Coturnix japonica: one gene and its partners. The protein of the gene in region 1 interacts with the protein of each later gene in a biochemical or structural test. Links are inferred from orthologs where the notes say so. Each region holds a gene or a part of one and is shown in the gene's direction. Other genes may lie near its edges. The genes, in order: NBR1, MAP1LC3A, MAP1LC3C and GABARAPL2.

What was found.
Region 2: the proteins of NBR1 (region 1) and MAP1LC3A form a complex in vitro, tested with the Homo sapiens proteins (2 studies listed by BioGRID and IntAct). The link is inferred for Coturnix japonica from reciprocal best matches to the Homo sapiens genes NBR1 and MAP1LC3A.
Region 3: the proteins of NBR1 (region 1) and MAP1LC3C form a complex in vitro, tested with the Homo sapiens proteins (2 studies listed by IntAct). The link is inferred for Coturnix japonica from reciprocal best matches to the Homo sapiens genes NBR1 and MAP1LC3C.
Region 4: the proteins of NBR1 (region 1) and GABARAPL2 form a complex in vitro, tested with the Homo sapiens proteins (2 studies listed by IntAct). The link is inferred for Coturnix japonica from reciprocal best matches to the Homo sapiens genes NBR1 and GABARAPL2.

What each region holds. Positions count from the first base shown.
Region 1 is NC_029542.1:4,766,306-4,769,867, forward strand, and holds part of NBR1 (next to BRCA1 gene 1 protein), read left to right. Parts: intron 1-444; coding exon 445-523; intron 524-915; coding exon 916-1,021; intron 1,022-1,413; coding exon 1,414-1,587; 3' UTR 1,588-3,562. UniProt on the Homo sapiens protein: Ubiquitin-binding autophagy adapter that participates in different processes including host defense or intracellular homeostasis.
Region 2 is NC_029535.1:1,283,249-1,287,588, reverse strand, and holds the start of MAP1LC3A (microtubule-associated proteins 1A/1B light chain 3A), read left to right. Parts: upstream 1-1,539; 5' UTR 1,540-1,627; coding exon 1,628-1,667; intron 1,668-4,340. UniProt on the Homo sapiens protein: Ubiquitin-like modifier involved in formation of autophagosomal vacuoles (autophagosomes). While LC3s are involved in elongation of the phagophore membrane, the GABARAP/GATE-16 subfamily is essential for a later stage in autophagosome maturation.
Region 3 is NC_029518.1:32,120,618-32,124,198, forward strand, and holds MAP1LC3C (microtubule-associated proteins 1A/1B light chain 3C), read left to right. Parts: upstream 1-1,246; 5' UTR 1,247-1,302; coding exon 1,303-1,360; intron 1,361-1,439; coding exon 1,440-1,495; intron 1,496-1,603; coding exon 1,604-1,710; intron 1,711-2,474; coding exon 2,475-2,682; 3' UTR 2,683-3,019; downstream 3,020-3,581.
Region 4 is NC_029526.1:17,778,778-17,783,072, reverse strand, and holds the start of GABARAPL2 (gamma-aminobutyric acid receptor-associated protein-like 2), read left to right. Parts: upstream 1-1,477; 5' UTR 1,478-1,639; coding exon 1,640-1,673; intron 1,674-2,108; coding exon 2,109-2,164; intron 2,165-2,782; coding exon 2,783-2,955; intron 2,956-4,295. Other genes in the region: uncharacterized protein LOC107319444, read right to left, coding at 796-965, 1,044-1,185. UniProt on the Homo sapiens protein: Ubiquitin-like modifier involved in intra-Golgi traffic. Modulates intra-Golgi transport through coupling between NSF activity and SNAREs activation. It first stimulates the ATPase activity of NSF which in turn stimulates the association with GOSR1.

The sequences.
Region 1 (3,562 bases):
TTTCTCTGGGGGTGTTTAAAATTTTATCATACAGAAGTCTTGAATATAACAGTAATCAGCTTTGTGAATCAGGTGAGAGTAGTGTTTATTGATTAGAAATGTTAGAAGAGCACTCAGGAGTGCCTTTATACATGTAGAAGTTTATCTTGCTCTGGGATTAGTGCTGTATGCTCAAGCCATTGTTACAGCTATTTGGAGCTCAGACAGCAGTTCATATTGTGGTGAGGCAGATACCCACTGACTTTTCAGCTAAATGACTCCTAGAATTATTTTGATTTATATTAACTGTAGTGAGAATCTTGCATGCCTAGTTTGCATCTGGGTCACCAAGCTTGAAAGTAGTAATTTAGACTGAATCTCACTTTACATTTATGTGTGTGTTGAATCTCTTCAGCTTTTAGTTAACTTTATGTGTTCATATGGGGTATTTCCTTCTTCTTCCAGAACCTAGTGGTGAAGAGAGGCGTGAACCAGAATCTTCTGTATTTCTAACTAGTATCCGGAAGGGCTCTGAATATGCAAGGTAATGAAACAGAAGCTGCAGCTTTGCAAATTCTGTTTGTTCCATGGCCTTTCTTTGAAGACTAAGTGACTAAGAATCAGTGGAAACCAGACAGAAGTTACTCTGGTCTGGATGCATATGTCACAGCTTCTATGTACGTAGGCTATTCAATCTTTTCAAACTTTCATTTTACGTACAGTAAGCTAATGTATGTTAGCACTTAAAGTACATACAAATTAGCAGAAGGCATGGAACGCTTGATTCCTGAGTAGCAGTGATTCTTTTGGATAATGAGTTATTCTCTCCAGTAAGAATTAAGTCTCAGTTGAGCCATTAGTGGGGAAGGATTTGCCTTTTAGGTGAAAGAAATACGGCTTTTGCTGACCCAAATGTAATACCTAACCTTTCTGCAGACACCCACAAGGAGGCAGTATTGCAGGAGATCTAGTTAAAGGAGCTCTGTCAGTTGCTGCCTCTGCCTACAAAGCATTATTTGCTGGACCGCCCATTACAGAACAGGTAAGTGTCTTTTTCCCATGTTCTGTATGAGTTTTACAGAAGTTCAACGTTAACATTATAACTGTTGGTACCTTAATAAAACATACATTGTCTGTATTGATGTTTCACAACACACTGCTGCAACAGTAAAATGTTAAACTTGGTGGCATCTCTTGGAAGCATGGCACTTCCACAGCTGATAGAGAAGTCTGTGCTGTGGAAATAGAAGCAAGTCTCTGAGCATAATGCAAGAGAAGTAATTCAAATGTACAAGTGACCAATGAAAATAAGTGCATATTGCTTCCTTGTGGACAGAGGGCTTCAGTGTCATCACTGCATTCCAGTATAATGCAGGACTGCTGTTGAGATGGCAAAAATAAGTCTTCTTGTCTCTCTTGTTTTGTTTCTATCAGCCTGCAGCTACAGAAGAGCACACTGCTGCTCTTCTATCCAGTCTGTGTGAGATGGGATTCTGTGACAGGCAGTTAAACCTGCGACTGCTGAAGAAACACAACAATAATATGGTTCAAGTGGTAACTGAATTGCTTCAAATCAGTAATGGTGACTGGTACAGCAATAGATGCTGAGCCTTCCTGGTGGAGGGATGAATCTCCTTAGTTGAGCAAATTCTCATTAAACACTACAGCATTAGCAGACTGACCTTCAGCTACTTTGGAGATATAGATAAAACTTTGTCCTTTCCTCAAGCTTTTGTCTTTTTCCTCTCATGGAAATGTCAAACAATGCTTGTCACAACATTTTACAAATTGGACACCAGAATTTCAACTTTACTTTTGCTGAAATTAGATGTATTGAGGTTGGTAACTTTATGCTGATTCCTTTTTACCTGGAAATGTTATAGAGTGACTTTAGCCTGCACACTTCTCCTTTTACTGTATGTAAAATACTTCTAGGCAGCTGGGAGCTTTTGTTTTGTTGACTTCTAACACATTGCTTCCTATTACAAAGTTTAAAATGCTTCTGTAAAATATAGTCTTGTCTAATTTATAAGAGATACCAGCTACTTGGAAACTCTTTCTTCTGACATGATACAGTTATCGGTTTTTGTCCAGTTCTTGATAGTAATGTAACAGAATTAAACCTTACAAATAATTCTCGGGGGTGTTGGGGGGCTGGGGGAGAAGGCGATGTTGCTCATATATTAAAATTAGTCTTGAACCATCAAATGACTTCTGAAAAGCCTGAAGTTGATTTGAACGGATGTATACCAGGAAAATCACTGTTTCTTGAAGCAGAATAAAGCATAAGAGTTAATTTACCAGCTGCTATTAACTGTAACCATTAGTAGTAATTATAACAGTAAACTTATATCTAACAAAAAATATAGTCTACATAAAATATTTTGTTAAAAATGGAGTTGTACTGTAGGAAAAACCTTCCTAAGAACCTTTGAAAAGGTTCTTTGGGGGGGATGGGGGGGGAGTGTAAAAACTCAACCCCTGTGTTTTTTGTGTTGTCCAGACATCTTAATACTACATTAAGAGTTTTCATGCGTACAAAGCCAGACTTGAACTGGAGTATGAATTCTGGTAGTATTTGGGAAACAAACCCAAATACCCCCCTACCCCCCCAAGGCAGGGGTTTTACAACATACTTCATTTTGAAAAATATAGTAACTTGAGCAGTGTTATATGTATAGTCTCTGGCAACGTTTCTGGCTGCTTCTGTGTTTCTGTAAACACATCTGTAGAACTCACTTTCTCTCACAGTTTTTCTTTACGTACACATACTTATTTCAGTGTTTAAGCTCCCAAACATCCTGAGAGGTGATTTGATTCTGAAGAATCGCAAGCAACCAGTAACATACACTGCTGTGCAGTGGTGTATCTGTAGATAACTGCTCACAGGTCAGTCCTCTGAAAGTGACAGCAATGTTGGCTACATTCTTTCTTTCGAGTAAGCTTTCTAAGTTGCCGCAGTGGGAGACCACTGATCCTGAAATACAAATACTATTGCTGCTTCAAAATAAGGTGTTTCTATTTTGACACAACGTAGCTGAAGCAGCTGTGAGTATTCTGATTGATCAGATGATCAGTATTAGTTTTTTAAAGACCTAATACTCTCCATGATAAAATACCATTAAAATAATTGAAGAGAAATATGTATCATACTTCTTCTGTTTTAAACATATTTTTATAGATTGTGGAAGGCAAACTCTTAAATGCTTATTTTGAAATACAGTAGGACTATTTTGCAGTGTTTCCCATCTGTCTGTACCCCAGTACAGCTGCCTACTGTGGACCAGATAAAGACTTTTCTGTAACTTGAAATTATGGTTTTTTTCCCCCCACTATAACTTACACATACTGATCTGAATATCTTTCAGCTTATGCTTACTATACAATATGATGAGGAGGAGGGGACATGGATAAGTGCAATAGCTGGTGAAGTTATTAATCTGGTTGTTTGTTTTGATCTGTAATGCCCAGCAGCACACTTGCTCTTTCTGTGTATACCTTCATACTTAAGATTTTAATATGTTCTGTAAATTAACAAAACTAGAATGTTTGAGGAAAAGCACTTCGTTGCAGATTGAAGTGT
Region 2 (4,340 bases), on another chromosome or scaffold:
ACTGGAGAATGGCCTCACTTTCTGTCTTTGAGAAATTGATCCCTTTCTGAAGGCAAAGGAAACACCTGCTGCGAAGTCAGAGCAAACAAACCCTGATGCATTAAGAGGCTGATGAGGGGGGTTTGAAGTATGGCTCAGGGCTGCAAGCAGCAGCACTTGTAGCCCAAGATCTCTTTGTCCAGCTGAGATAAGGCCGTGGCAGAGGAATGGAGGTGACAGCACTTAAGAGATCGCAAAAGATAGACTTGTGGAAACATCTGTTCATCTTCAGACACGTCTTTCAGCTGCTATGGGCAGCAGCTATTTGTCTGCCTGAGATGGCTGAGCAGCACTCCTTTCACACACAGGAGCTTTATTTACCTTGTCTTAAAGCTTTTGCTGTGCATTGCTATGTCTGTAGGGAATGAAAGCAAGGCCTACAGCAGGCCAAGCTGGCTGTGTGTTAGCAGAGTGCCCCGACCTGCACAGGCTGCATGCAGAGCTGTGGTGTGCGGGGGCTGCAGGGCACTGAGCTCTGACAGCACCAACACTGCAGGAGTCTGAGCGTCATCAGGTCTGTGTTGACAGTAATACACTACTTCAGCAGCACAACAGCATTCCTCGGGGAGGCTCCAAGCTGTCACAAACATGCAGGGTGCTCATTACCAGCAGTGCTCACCCTGCTGGAATGCTGGCATTGTAAAGCTGGCTGTTGATCGTGGGTTGCTATAGGGCTGCTTGCTGCTGCTGGGTTGGTCTGTCTACCTGTTCCTCGTCAAAAGTGGGTTAGTGCTTAACAACAGTAACAAATTCAGTGAGCCTGCAGTCTGCAATGTCAGTCCATCTGCCTTATCTCAGTCAGTACCGCAACTTCTTTCCCTTCTGCATTTTTGGATGGCCAGGACCCTTTTGATCATCAGAGCACTTTTAAAAGATGCAGTGGGAGCCTTTCTGTCCCTTTGAAGCAGGGATGTACTCAATGTCTGCCCACCATGGGGGGTTGTTTTGGAGCACAGCGCTCATTGCAGCGTGCCTTCACGGGGACATGCAGTGTGGCTCTCTGCAAAACACCGTCACCGTTTGCAGCTGGGTTTGATTCGTTCACGGCTCTAGAAATAGCCCGCTCTATTTGTAGCCGTGATTTGCTCTGCAAGGTATGCGGGCTGTGTGTGCAGCGGGGGGAGACGGGCTGCTCCGGGGCGTGCGGGGCAGTAAGAGGAGGGGACGGGGACTGAGTACATGGGCAGAGCGGGGGACGGGGGCGGCTTTAACTAGAACAGGGAAGATTCAGGTCGGATGAGCGGAGGGAATCCTACACCCGCAGGCGGTGCGGCCCCGGCCCTGGGCAGCCCGGGCTGGGGGAGCGGCTCAGGTGCGCACGGAGCAGCGCTCAGCGATGTGCTGCGGGAGGGGAAAGCGGCTCTTGGGGTGTGAGCGGGGCCCGAAAGGCCGCGATTGAAAACGGGATCGATGACTCGGCGCTCATCGCACCGGGCGGCACCGCCCCACGGACACGTCACGTGACACGTCACGGCCCTCCGCCCGCCCCGGTGACGTCACCGCCCGCTCCGCCGCAGCCGCCACACGGAGCCGCCGCCGGCACCTGCGACCCGGCCCGGCCGCCGCCGCCGCCGCCAACACCACCGCCATGCCCTCGGAACGGCCCTTCAAGCAGCGCCGCACCTTCGGTGAGCGGACGGCGGGGCGATGTGCGCGGGAGCTGCGTGCGCAGCGATCGGGGGGCGAGGATGGGGCCGCGCGGTGCCGCGGGGCGGGCGGTGCCCTCCGGCCGGGCTATACCGGGCTGTGCGGGGCTGTACGGGGCTGTGCGGGGCTGTACGGGGCTGTACGGAGCTGTACGGGGCTGTGCGGAGCTGTACGGAGCTGTACGGAGCTGTGCGGGGCTGTACGGAGCTGTACCGGGCTGTGCCGGGCTGTACGGGGCTGTACCGGGCTGTACCGGGCTGTACGGGGCTGTACCGGGCTGTACCGGGCTGTACGGGGCTGTACCGGGTTGTACCGGCGGCCCTCGGGCTCCTTGTCCTCCTCCCGCAGCCCGAACGCACCCGCGTAGCGCGGCGGTCCCCCCCCACCCCCCGTTTCTTATTGTGGCACCGCCCGGAGCCGCGACCCCTTCGCCCCGCTGTGGCGGCGGGCTGAGCCCCTTCGGCTGCGGGTGGGCGGCCGAACCTTCGCGCACCGCCCGGTGCCCCCGCCCGGCTGGGGGTCGCTGTGCCGAGGACCCCGCGCTCCGCACCCTGTGCTGCCGGGCCCGGCGGGTTCCGCGCTCGCGTGGAAACATCGTTGTGCTGAATGTGGGCGGTGGGCGATGTGACCGTACGGGGCGATGTGACCGTACGGGGCGATGTGACCGTACGGGTCGGTGTTACCGTACGGGGCAATGTTACCGTACGGGGCAGTGTTACCGTACGGGCAGTGTTACCGTACGGGGCAGTGTTACCGTACGGGTCAGTGTTACCGTACGGGTCAGTGTTACCGTACGGGGCAGTGTTACCGTACGGGGCAGTGTTACCGTACGGGGCAGTGTTACCGTACGGGGCAGTGTTACCGTACGGGCAGTGTTACCGTACGGGGCAGTGTTACCGCACGGGGCGATGTTACCGTACGGGTCAGTGTTACCGCACGGGGCGCCGCGTCGTGCCTTGCCCGGCAGAGCGGCAGCTGCTGCTCCCCCTGACCTTTGCCGGCCGAACCCCGCGGCCACACGGCGCTTGGCTGGAGTTTTCTATTAAAAGCAGCAGAATCCCGAGTGCCGCCCGTATCTCTGCCCGCTGCTCCGCCGTGGCAGCCGGCATCGCGGGCGGGAGGAGCCGGCTTTGCCTTTGCACGTTGCTCAGGCTGGAGGAAAACAAAAGTCGAGGCTCGGAGTGACCGAAGGAGAGCGGGACTGAAATAGCGCAGGAGGGAAAGGGGGGGAGACGGAGTCGGGTGCTGTGTGACCGCGGGTGTCTGCGCCGTCCTGTGCCCTTTGGCTCCCGGCTGATGTGCAGAGCTCAGCGGGACGAGGAGGAAGAGGAGGCGGCCCGGCGCCCGCTCGGCTGCTTTGGGTCGGGGCTGGGATCGCTCCGCTGGAGAAAGTAAACAGCGCTTGTTTTCGTCTTCAGCTCGTTGCACAACGGGAGCAGGAAGCGATTGTTGACAGTGCCGCTGGAGACGGACGATGGAAAATATTTCCAGTGACACTGCACCCTCAGAACGGCGCTGTTTGTAAGGCCGCAGAGCTGGAGAGAAGTGGAACGGCTCCAAAAGAACAGAACAGGCAGAGTCAGAGTGTGGCTGTTTACAAGAGCCGCCCAAGGCTCCGGTGTCACGGCACGTGGCTCGGTGAGGCCTTGGCCCGCTGCCCCGTGCTGACGCTCTGCTGTGCTTTGTGCCCATTTTCCCCCTTCTTGTAGTGTTGAGGTTTGTTTTTCTATGGGGTTTCTTCTGTTTGCCCATCTGCTTTGTCTCAGGTCTGTTCTGAATACATTTTATGGAGCTCAGTGTGATGCTGTTGAGGACTTAAGTCCAACGCTGGGGCATGCGGCGTCCCCCTGGTGTCTGATGCACATCAGAGGGGGCTCTGCTGGGGTTGTGCTCCCCGCTGTGGCTGTGGCTGTATCTTTGGGCTGGGGGTGAGATCTGATGGAGCCCCTCAGCTGCCACGTGCAAACCTGCCTGTGAATGCTGAGGGAGCTGCGTTCTGCTTAGTCAGATCCATGGTAGGAGTCCAGACCAATTCCCAGAGTGAAGCTGTGCTCTGTGTCAGAGGAGCAGGCTGTCCTGGCTGCAGCCATGTGTGCAACCTGCTGACCCTGCGCTGCTTCCTGTGAAAGGTGCATCTTTGGGCTGGATGCTCCCATCCCAGGTGCAGTTTTCTGTGCCTTCAGTTCTGGCAGTGCACTTCTCATGTGGAAAAGGCAGCAGTCGGTAAGAGCAGCACATAGAACTGAAGAGTGGCCTTCACCAGGTGGCAGCAGGGTGAGGAAGGGGATTGTCCCCCTGTGATCAGCTCCTGTGAGACCCCACCTTGGTTTTGCATCCAGCCCTGGGGCTGCTGGCACAGGAAGGACGTGGAGCTGCTGCAGGAGGTCCAGAGGAGGACACAAAGGTGCTCAGAGGGCTGGAGCATCTCTGCTATGGAGTCTGGCTGAGGGAGCTGGGAGTGTTCTGCCTGAAGGAGGGAAAGCTGCGGGGAGACCTCATTGCAGCCTTGCAATGTTTAAAGGGAGATTATAAACAGGAGGAAAATCAACTTTTTACACATGTAGATGGTGATAGAACGAGGGGAAACAGCTTTAAACTAGAGGGAAGATTCAGATTAGATGTCAAGGGGAAGATTTTCACTGAGAGGGCAGTGC
Region 3 (3,581 bases), on another chromosome or scaffold:
ACGCAGGGCATCTGCTAACTGTGCTCACTTTTAGCTGCAGTAGGAATTAGAGCCACAGCCAAGAATTTCACTTGAAGTTCCGTTCTTCAGCTCCCTCCCTCTCTTGTCAGGTGCTCAGTTTTCTGTCAAACAGCTGCCTGTGAAGGCTAACATCCCTCTGGAAACAAGGTGCTGGTGGTTGTGTGGAACCAAGTCCAGGTGTTCCACATGCATCTCTGATAGGAGCCCTGGAGCTCTCCTGCACAGCTGGGGAGGCTTACCTTGGGGATGGGTCCCTTAGGGGCCGTGTTGACAGCACCAAAACTGGCCACAGCTCCCCTCCCAAGTCTGAGGCTCAGCAGCTCCTCAGAGCAACACACCCTGTCCTCTCTACATACTTCAGTTCGTTGTGCCATTTGGTGAGCTGTGCTGTGATGGTGTCATGGTTTTGTAATTTTGCTATCAGTATTCCACATCATAACATCATGTAAAGTATGGATAATTTTACTGAATGTTCAGCTCACAGAAGAAGACTACATATCCCAGAGGACATCATGGTCAGGGATAAGTCACGGGACCAGGACACTATATAATCTCACTCCCAGGCTGGACTTGCTCTTCACCAGACTTTTATAAACCCCCTTACCAGGGAGAAACATCCCTTGCTTCACAGTCACACCTTATTCCTGAGATGGCCGTCAGGCAGTACGTACACTTGTGAACAACTTTTGTCAAGGATAAAGCACAGGAGGAGTACATTTTGTCAACAATGTGACAAATGCCTTCGGAGCTCATAAGAACTGCAGCCACTGCCAGCAAACCAGACACTGATAAGCCACTTTCTCACAAACAAGGTCACATATCTCATCAGAATTATGGTGCTGTTGCTCTCTTTTGTTTTGTTTCAATATAAAATACTAAAAACAGTTGTATTACTTTCATGTATGAACCATGTTATGTATTTTATGAGGGCTGCCCTGAAAGTAATGCTTCATACTATGTGATGCTGTCCCACGATGTCAGAGGCAGACATTGGAGGTATGGCAGCAGAGGTTGAATCCTAATATTCGTTACACGTTGTAGCTGTGTGACAGATGGCAGCAGAGGGGCAGTTTGACAGAACGGCGTCTGGCATGGAAGTGTGCGTGAAGCAAAAGCAAGGCTGGGCAGCGCTGGGATGGATGCTGGGATGGATGCTGGGATGGATACTTCCAAGGCAACTCCCAAATGCGAAGCAGCCCGCCCGCCACACGCCGCCCCTCGGGGCGGTGCCGGACCGGCCCATAAGAGGCGCGGCGCGGGGCGGCGGCCTCAGGCGGCGGGATGCAGGCGGGTCCCGGGGTGCAGCCGGTGCGGCCCTTCAAGCTGCGCAAGAGTCTGGGTATGGTTATGGGGATGGGACGGTACGGTGCTCTCTCTCTCTACGTTACAACGTAACGCTTGTGCTCTCTCCCGCGCAGCCACCCGGCGGGAGGAGGTGGCCGGCATCAGGGCCAAGTTCCCCACAAAGATCCCGGTAATTCGCTGCTCCGCGGGCGGGGGCTCCCGGCTTCTGCCTTGAGTATTTTGGAAGGAGGGGAACGGAACGTCGCTGGGGCTTCTAAGTGACTCTAATTAAAAACAGGTAATCGTTGAGAGGTACCAGAAGGAGAAATACCTTCCCCTGTTGGACAAAACTAAGTTTCTCGTCCCCGAGGAGCTGACCATGACGCAGTTCATCACCATCATCAGGTAAGGGCCGCGCACTACCGCGTGAGAGGGGCCTGGGGCGGCCTCCCCCAGCGGGAGCTGATAGGGAAGAGCTCGGGGCTCCCGAGGTCCCTCTTCCCCCTCACTGGCGGATAAAGGCGGCGCGAGGCTGCTGCTCTGCTCCCGTTCTGCCTGGTTCTGGGCTGTGCTCTGCATCCAACTGCTGCTGCCCTGCTGCTCCTGTTGCACTTACAGGTTGCCCAAACCTGTGGCAGCTCCATCCCGGGTGTTCTTTACAAATACACTGGCAAAGAGGTCTCCTAAAGGGGGGCGTTCTGTGCAGGGGTGCTGGGGAATTGTAAGGCAATTTTTTGTCAGTGACAAAAAGTGCGTGGAAGCCATGTTTCCAGTTATTAACTTATGTAGAAGATACTTTTGTCAGCCAGTCTTCATGTGTAAAGTCTCTGAGTGAGACTCCTCTGAAGGTGGGCAGGCCTTAAGTTTAACAGGCTGTGCTGAAATTCCCTATTGTAGCTACACTCAGCACTTCTTGGGAATGGGCAGCCCCAGGCTCAGGCTTGGTAGCAGCTACAGTCCTGCAGCTTAAGCCTTTCCCTGGAGCAAGCTTCCTGTTTCTGAGTACAGTTAACTTTCTGATGGAAATATTAAACTAAGCAACGTCTTCGTGCATAAACTATGTACAAGAAATGCTGCAACTATTCTGCTTAATGTATTTTATAGACTAAGGTTGAAACCTTAAATTTGCTAATGCTTGGTCCTTTGTTTCCTTTTCCCTCTTCATTCAGAAGCAGGATGGCTCTGACTGCTACACAAGCTTTCTACCTGCTGGTGAACAACAAGAGCTTAGCGAGTATGTCTTTGACCATGGCAGAGGTGTACAGGGACTACAAGGATGAAGATGGCTTCGTGTACATGACATATGCTTCCCAGGAGATGTTCGGATGCTGCTCACTCACCTTAGGGAAAACTATGGAATGCCACCATAAAACCTAATGCTGGGGTCTATATGCTGCAGCTAAGCCACTGTGCTGTGAATCATGCATGTGACATGAGACTCGGAGATGCTCCCTCCAGTATGAGCTCTTGAGCTCTGTACTGCGGAGTTATGATCCAAAAGCTGGCAGGACCGGCTCAAGGCAGAGATGGTGGTACACTTTTCCATGGATGATAATTTAGATGTATATTTTTATACTTGGAAGGCACTGTGGGGTTTCTTTTTTGTTGTTGTTGTTTTGGAACTGCACCTCCACTTTTTGCAATACCGATCTTGTGATGTAACTGCTTTTTAAGGTGTTGCTTAAGAATAAAATAAAGAAGCTTTTAAGTACTAGGTTGAATGTCAGTTTTAATTTGGGGAGAGACTTCCTGGGAAAAGGTCCTAGAATGATTCTGGCTCCAGGCTTCTGGAGTGGAGTGTTGCTTGCACAGCCACTCATTCAATTTCACAATGAGATAACAAAACTCAAGCCTGCTCATGCAGCAGTAGGCTCATACCTACAAACAGTTCATTCATTGAAGTACCTGAGTAGCAGGGTTGCATCAGTGCTAGAATAGGGGTCAGTGTTCTGCTCTTTCTATTGAATTCTGCTAGTCTGGTCTGTAGGCAAGCTGGTCATCCCTTTCACCTACAGGCACCTGCACAGCTCTTCTGCTGAGGGACTTCAGTGAGCCTTGCCTCAAGTGTGGGTGTTTGTGCTGTACCTTACAGAGGTATGTCAGCGTATCTGGAAAATGTCAAAACTATCATGTAGTGACATGCTGATACATTTATTGTACAAGCTTCCTGAAAATGAATTGGAAGAAACTCTTGACAGGAGGTTCAAGCTGAAGTGCAGCTTTCTAATATATCAGGAATGTGTCAGAAAGTTGTAAATGTTCAGTTTGTGCATAAT
Region 4 (4,295 bases), on another chromosome or scaffold:
ATCAGACTTTTGTTTAGTTAGTTTAATAGAAGGGTTCCTGTTAAGAGGAAAGAAAGTTAAAAGTGCAGATTTCCCTAACTGCAACACGCACATACAAAGAAAGCAAAGAAACAGCACAGTTAGAAATAGAATAAAAAGCTGCTTGGCTTTAAAAACATGAGGTTAGAGAGAGAAGCCTTAGTTCTGTATGTTACAACAATCCACGTACTCCACAGGAAGGGAAAAAGACTCTCCAAGAGCACTTTTGTCCCGTGCCATTCCAAACATGTTCCCTGCATCCTACAGTCTGTATCTTAACGCTGGACCTTCTGCTACATCCCTGGCAATGCTGAGCTCGGCCCTGAGCGCTTCTTTGCACCATGTCCAGCTCCTGGTGGGAAGCCGCGGCTCCCAGCGCTTCCGTACCGCTCAAGGCCAGCACCGCAGCAATTCACAACCACCACGAGGCACCACAGAGCGCTCAGAGGAAATAACTACCGCTGCTGGATCCCGCAAAGAACAATAGCTGCAGGGGAGAGACGGCATGCTTTGAAAGCACGTACCTGCATTGCAAAGCAGGGGGCTGCCCACAAAGCCCTGCAAGCTGCAGTGTAACAAGCCTCACAGAGCGGGACCGGGACGGGGAAGGAAGAAAAATTACGGGGAAAAAAAAAAACAAAAACAAAACCACAAAAACCCACGGGAAAGAAAAGTCAGCAAAAAGCTTCGTGAGAACGAGCAGCGTGTTCCTGTAAGTCAGTGCACCGACAGCCGAAGCCAAGGGAGCTCCCCGACCCGCTGCCCGCAGCCGCCTACCAACAGCAGCGGGACGCGCAGCCGGTCCTCCTGGAGCCGGTTGAACGCCGGGAACGTGCTCCACGCCAGGAAGCTGCCCGGGCCCGGCCCGGTGGTGGCCACGAACAGCAGCTGGTACTGGAAGCGGACCGCGGGCTGCTCTCGGTACGAGCTCTGCTTCAGCCAGAAACCTGCGGGCAAACACGGCGCGACGTCACGGCGCGACGCCGGGCGCGGCCCCGCGGGGCTGGGGGCTGCCCGCCGCTCACCGTGGCTCCGGTAAGCCACCAGCAGCGGCGGCACGTAGGTGAGCGCGGCCAGCAGCAGCAGCGCCAGCGCGGCGGCGGAGCACAGCCCGGCCCGGTACCGCGTGTGCAGCGCGGGGTGCGAGAACAGCTCCAGCGCCGCCATCCCCAGCACGCGGCTGCGGAGCGCAACGACGGACCGGAGCCGGGCTGCACCGAGCGCCGCAACGGGAGCGGCGGCCGCCGAGCAGCGGGGAGCGCGATCCGGGACACGCGGCTGCAGTGAAGCGGGGAGCGCCCGGGGAGCGCAGCACCAAGGGAACCACGGCGGGCGCTACGGCAACGAGACCGCCGGTAACGGGACCGGCAGCAAAGGGACCGGCGGCAACGGGACCGAACGGCGGGCTCCGCAGCCTCGTTTCCCCCACGTGACCCCGCTCACCGCGACCCGGAAGCGCCGCGTTCCGGTGGTTGCTAAGGAAGCACCGAACCGGAAGTCCCGCCTGCCGAGCCGGGGCTGATTTTGTTGTGACAGGGTCCGTGTCGGCCGCCTCGGCCCGGTTCCGTTCTCGGCCTACCCGGGCCCCGCCGCCGGCTCCGCTTCCCGCCCAGCCCGCGCCATGAAGTGGATGTTCAAAGAAGACCACGCGCTGGGTAAGGGCGGGCCCGGCGCTGCCCGACGGCGGCCTCCCGTGTCCCGTGTCCCGTGTCGCCGTCCGCCCCGGGCTCCCCGTCGTGCTGCTGGGCGGGCGGCCCCGCGGGTCTGGACGCAGGGCGGCGCGGCAGCGGGGAATGAGAGAATGAGAACGAGAATGAGAACGAGAATGAGAATGCGAACACCGGGCCGGGGCCGCGTCACGGGGTGCGGGGCGGCTGCGGTGCGTGCGGGGCTGCTCGCTCTGCGCAGGGCCCTGACCGTACCGTTACTGTTACCGTACCGTTACCATACCGTTCCGTTCCGTTACCGTTCCGTACCGTACCGTACTGTTACCGTACCGTACTGTTACCATACCATACTGTTACCGTACCGTTACCGTTACCGTTCTGTACCGTTACTGTACCGTGACTAACCGCAAGTTTTGTTCACAGAGCACAGATGTGTGGAGTCAGCAAAGATCCGCGCCAAGTACCCTGACCGTGTCCCGGTGAGTAACCAGGCCGGCTTCATCCAGAACTGAAGAGGCAGCGGTGGATGAGCTGCCTGCATCCTGCCCGCTGTGCTTTGACCAGAACCCACCAAGTACATTCATTTTCCCTTTTGCATCGTTTGATGTTTTAAAGAAGGCCCAAAGACACGTAACTAGCCCAGCATTCCTTCCTCTGCCCTAATGCGCACTGTCAAATAAGTGAATGTGCCTGACTTTCTGAACACTTACCACATCTATGTTTTCTCTATGTCCCACTTTCTTTTAAGAGCAAAGGCTTTGTACGTTCAGTATCCTGAAGGTACATTCTGTGCATGATTCCAGGAAACTTAAAGAATAAGTTCTTTACACCTTGACAGTCCTTCCTAGCTCGATGAGGGAGGTGATTAGGTTCACCTGGGTTCACAGGGAAGAGCTTTCCAGAGTGTCAGCCAGCCCTTAAATGAGGGCTAAGAGAGGTGCACAGGCACAGGAAAATTTGTGCCATTGTATATATGAATGTAGGTTTCAGTGCAGTTGTAAAATCAGGTTGTACAGTACTGAGTCCTATCTCTCACTATCAAAAGCTGTCTGTTTCTACCAGTCCTGAAAAGCCTCACTTTCACATGTGCTTTACAGGTTATAGTGGAGAAGGTATCAGGATCTCAGATTGTTGATATTGATAAGAGGAAATACTTAGTTCCATCTGACATCACCGTGGCCCAGTTTATGTGGATCATCAGGAAGAGGATTCAGTTGCCCTCTGAGAAAGCAATATTCCTCTTTGTAGACAAGACTGTCCCACAGTCCAGGTAAGTGGCTGTTCAACTGGTATTCAGAACCATTTTAGCGTGGCTGTACATATCAGAGGAACAAAAAAAAAAAACCCTTCTGAGGATTAGGCAGCACTTATAGAAGGCGTTTGGTTGCATTTTCATCTCCCTGCGATTTGGACTTTTTTGGTCATACATATTGGTAACACATTTTCGATTATTTACATTGCAAGAAGGTAAACTAGAGTTATGACATCAGAAATATCAGATAACTTCTCCATGTGGCAAAAAAAAGTTGCATGTTAAACATACAAAAGCAAGCACTATAAATTATTTAAAAAAACATGAACCTAATTCTGTCAGCTCACATTAATGGTTTTTGTTGTTGTTGTTGTGGGTTTTTTTAAAATAACTTTTTCCTGTAAATACTAAATGCAAAACAACTAGAAGTAATGTGAAAAAACTTCTCTGTAGAACGGAGTCAGCATCAGTGGTTGTCTGCTACGTACATTACAAAATGCAGCACTAGCAGCTACTGCAGCAGCTCCCTATACGATCTATTTGAATAATCTCTGAGAAAACAGAATGTAGTGTTACTTGGTTTGGAGGCAGTGTTATTCTTGTCAACACTTGCCTGTGTAACAGCACCTCCAAATAACCTGTCCAGACCCAGCAAGAAAGATTTGTATTTCATTCATGACACTTATGGGAATCACGGGAGTGGCAAGGACCACCTTTTCCTACTTTATTTCTTCTAGGAGTAGTAGAAATGCCTTAGTCCCACTTTCTCAGTACTGTAGAACTGCTAGGAACAAACAGGAAAGGCAAAGAAATAAGGGCACGTTGTATCATCTCACACAACTATGGTATCTCACATCTCTGCTGGAAGTCCAAGGCTCTGAACCTTCAAGCTGATGCAAAAATAGTAACTTTTGTTATTAGGTAAAAATGTAGCTGGCCAACAGTTCTACCCCTTTAGACCACAAATTCTTCACTTCCTTCTCATTCAGAAGGTTATCTACTATTTGTTAATTGCCATCAATTTCAAGTGCTGCCTGCAACTCTCCCCAACTCCTTTAACTTAACACACTACCCGTTTTCTCACAGGGAAAAAGCCATGATGGTTTTCCTATCACCCACATTCAGTCTGTGCCTTTCAGTTCTCTGGCCTTTTCTCAGGCACTCTTGGGCAGTTAGAAAAGATGATCTGAAGCATCTTTAGGCAGTTGACTCACATCAGTCACTGTTTCATCTGTCATTCACAGACAGCTAAAGGAGTTAGGCTGGCCAAGTAATTGCTTGGCTTTCGTTCTGTTTTCAAAATACAGTCATCCCACAAAAGACTACTTAGATTGTAAAGGGCCACAAGCCTATCTTAT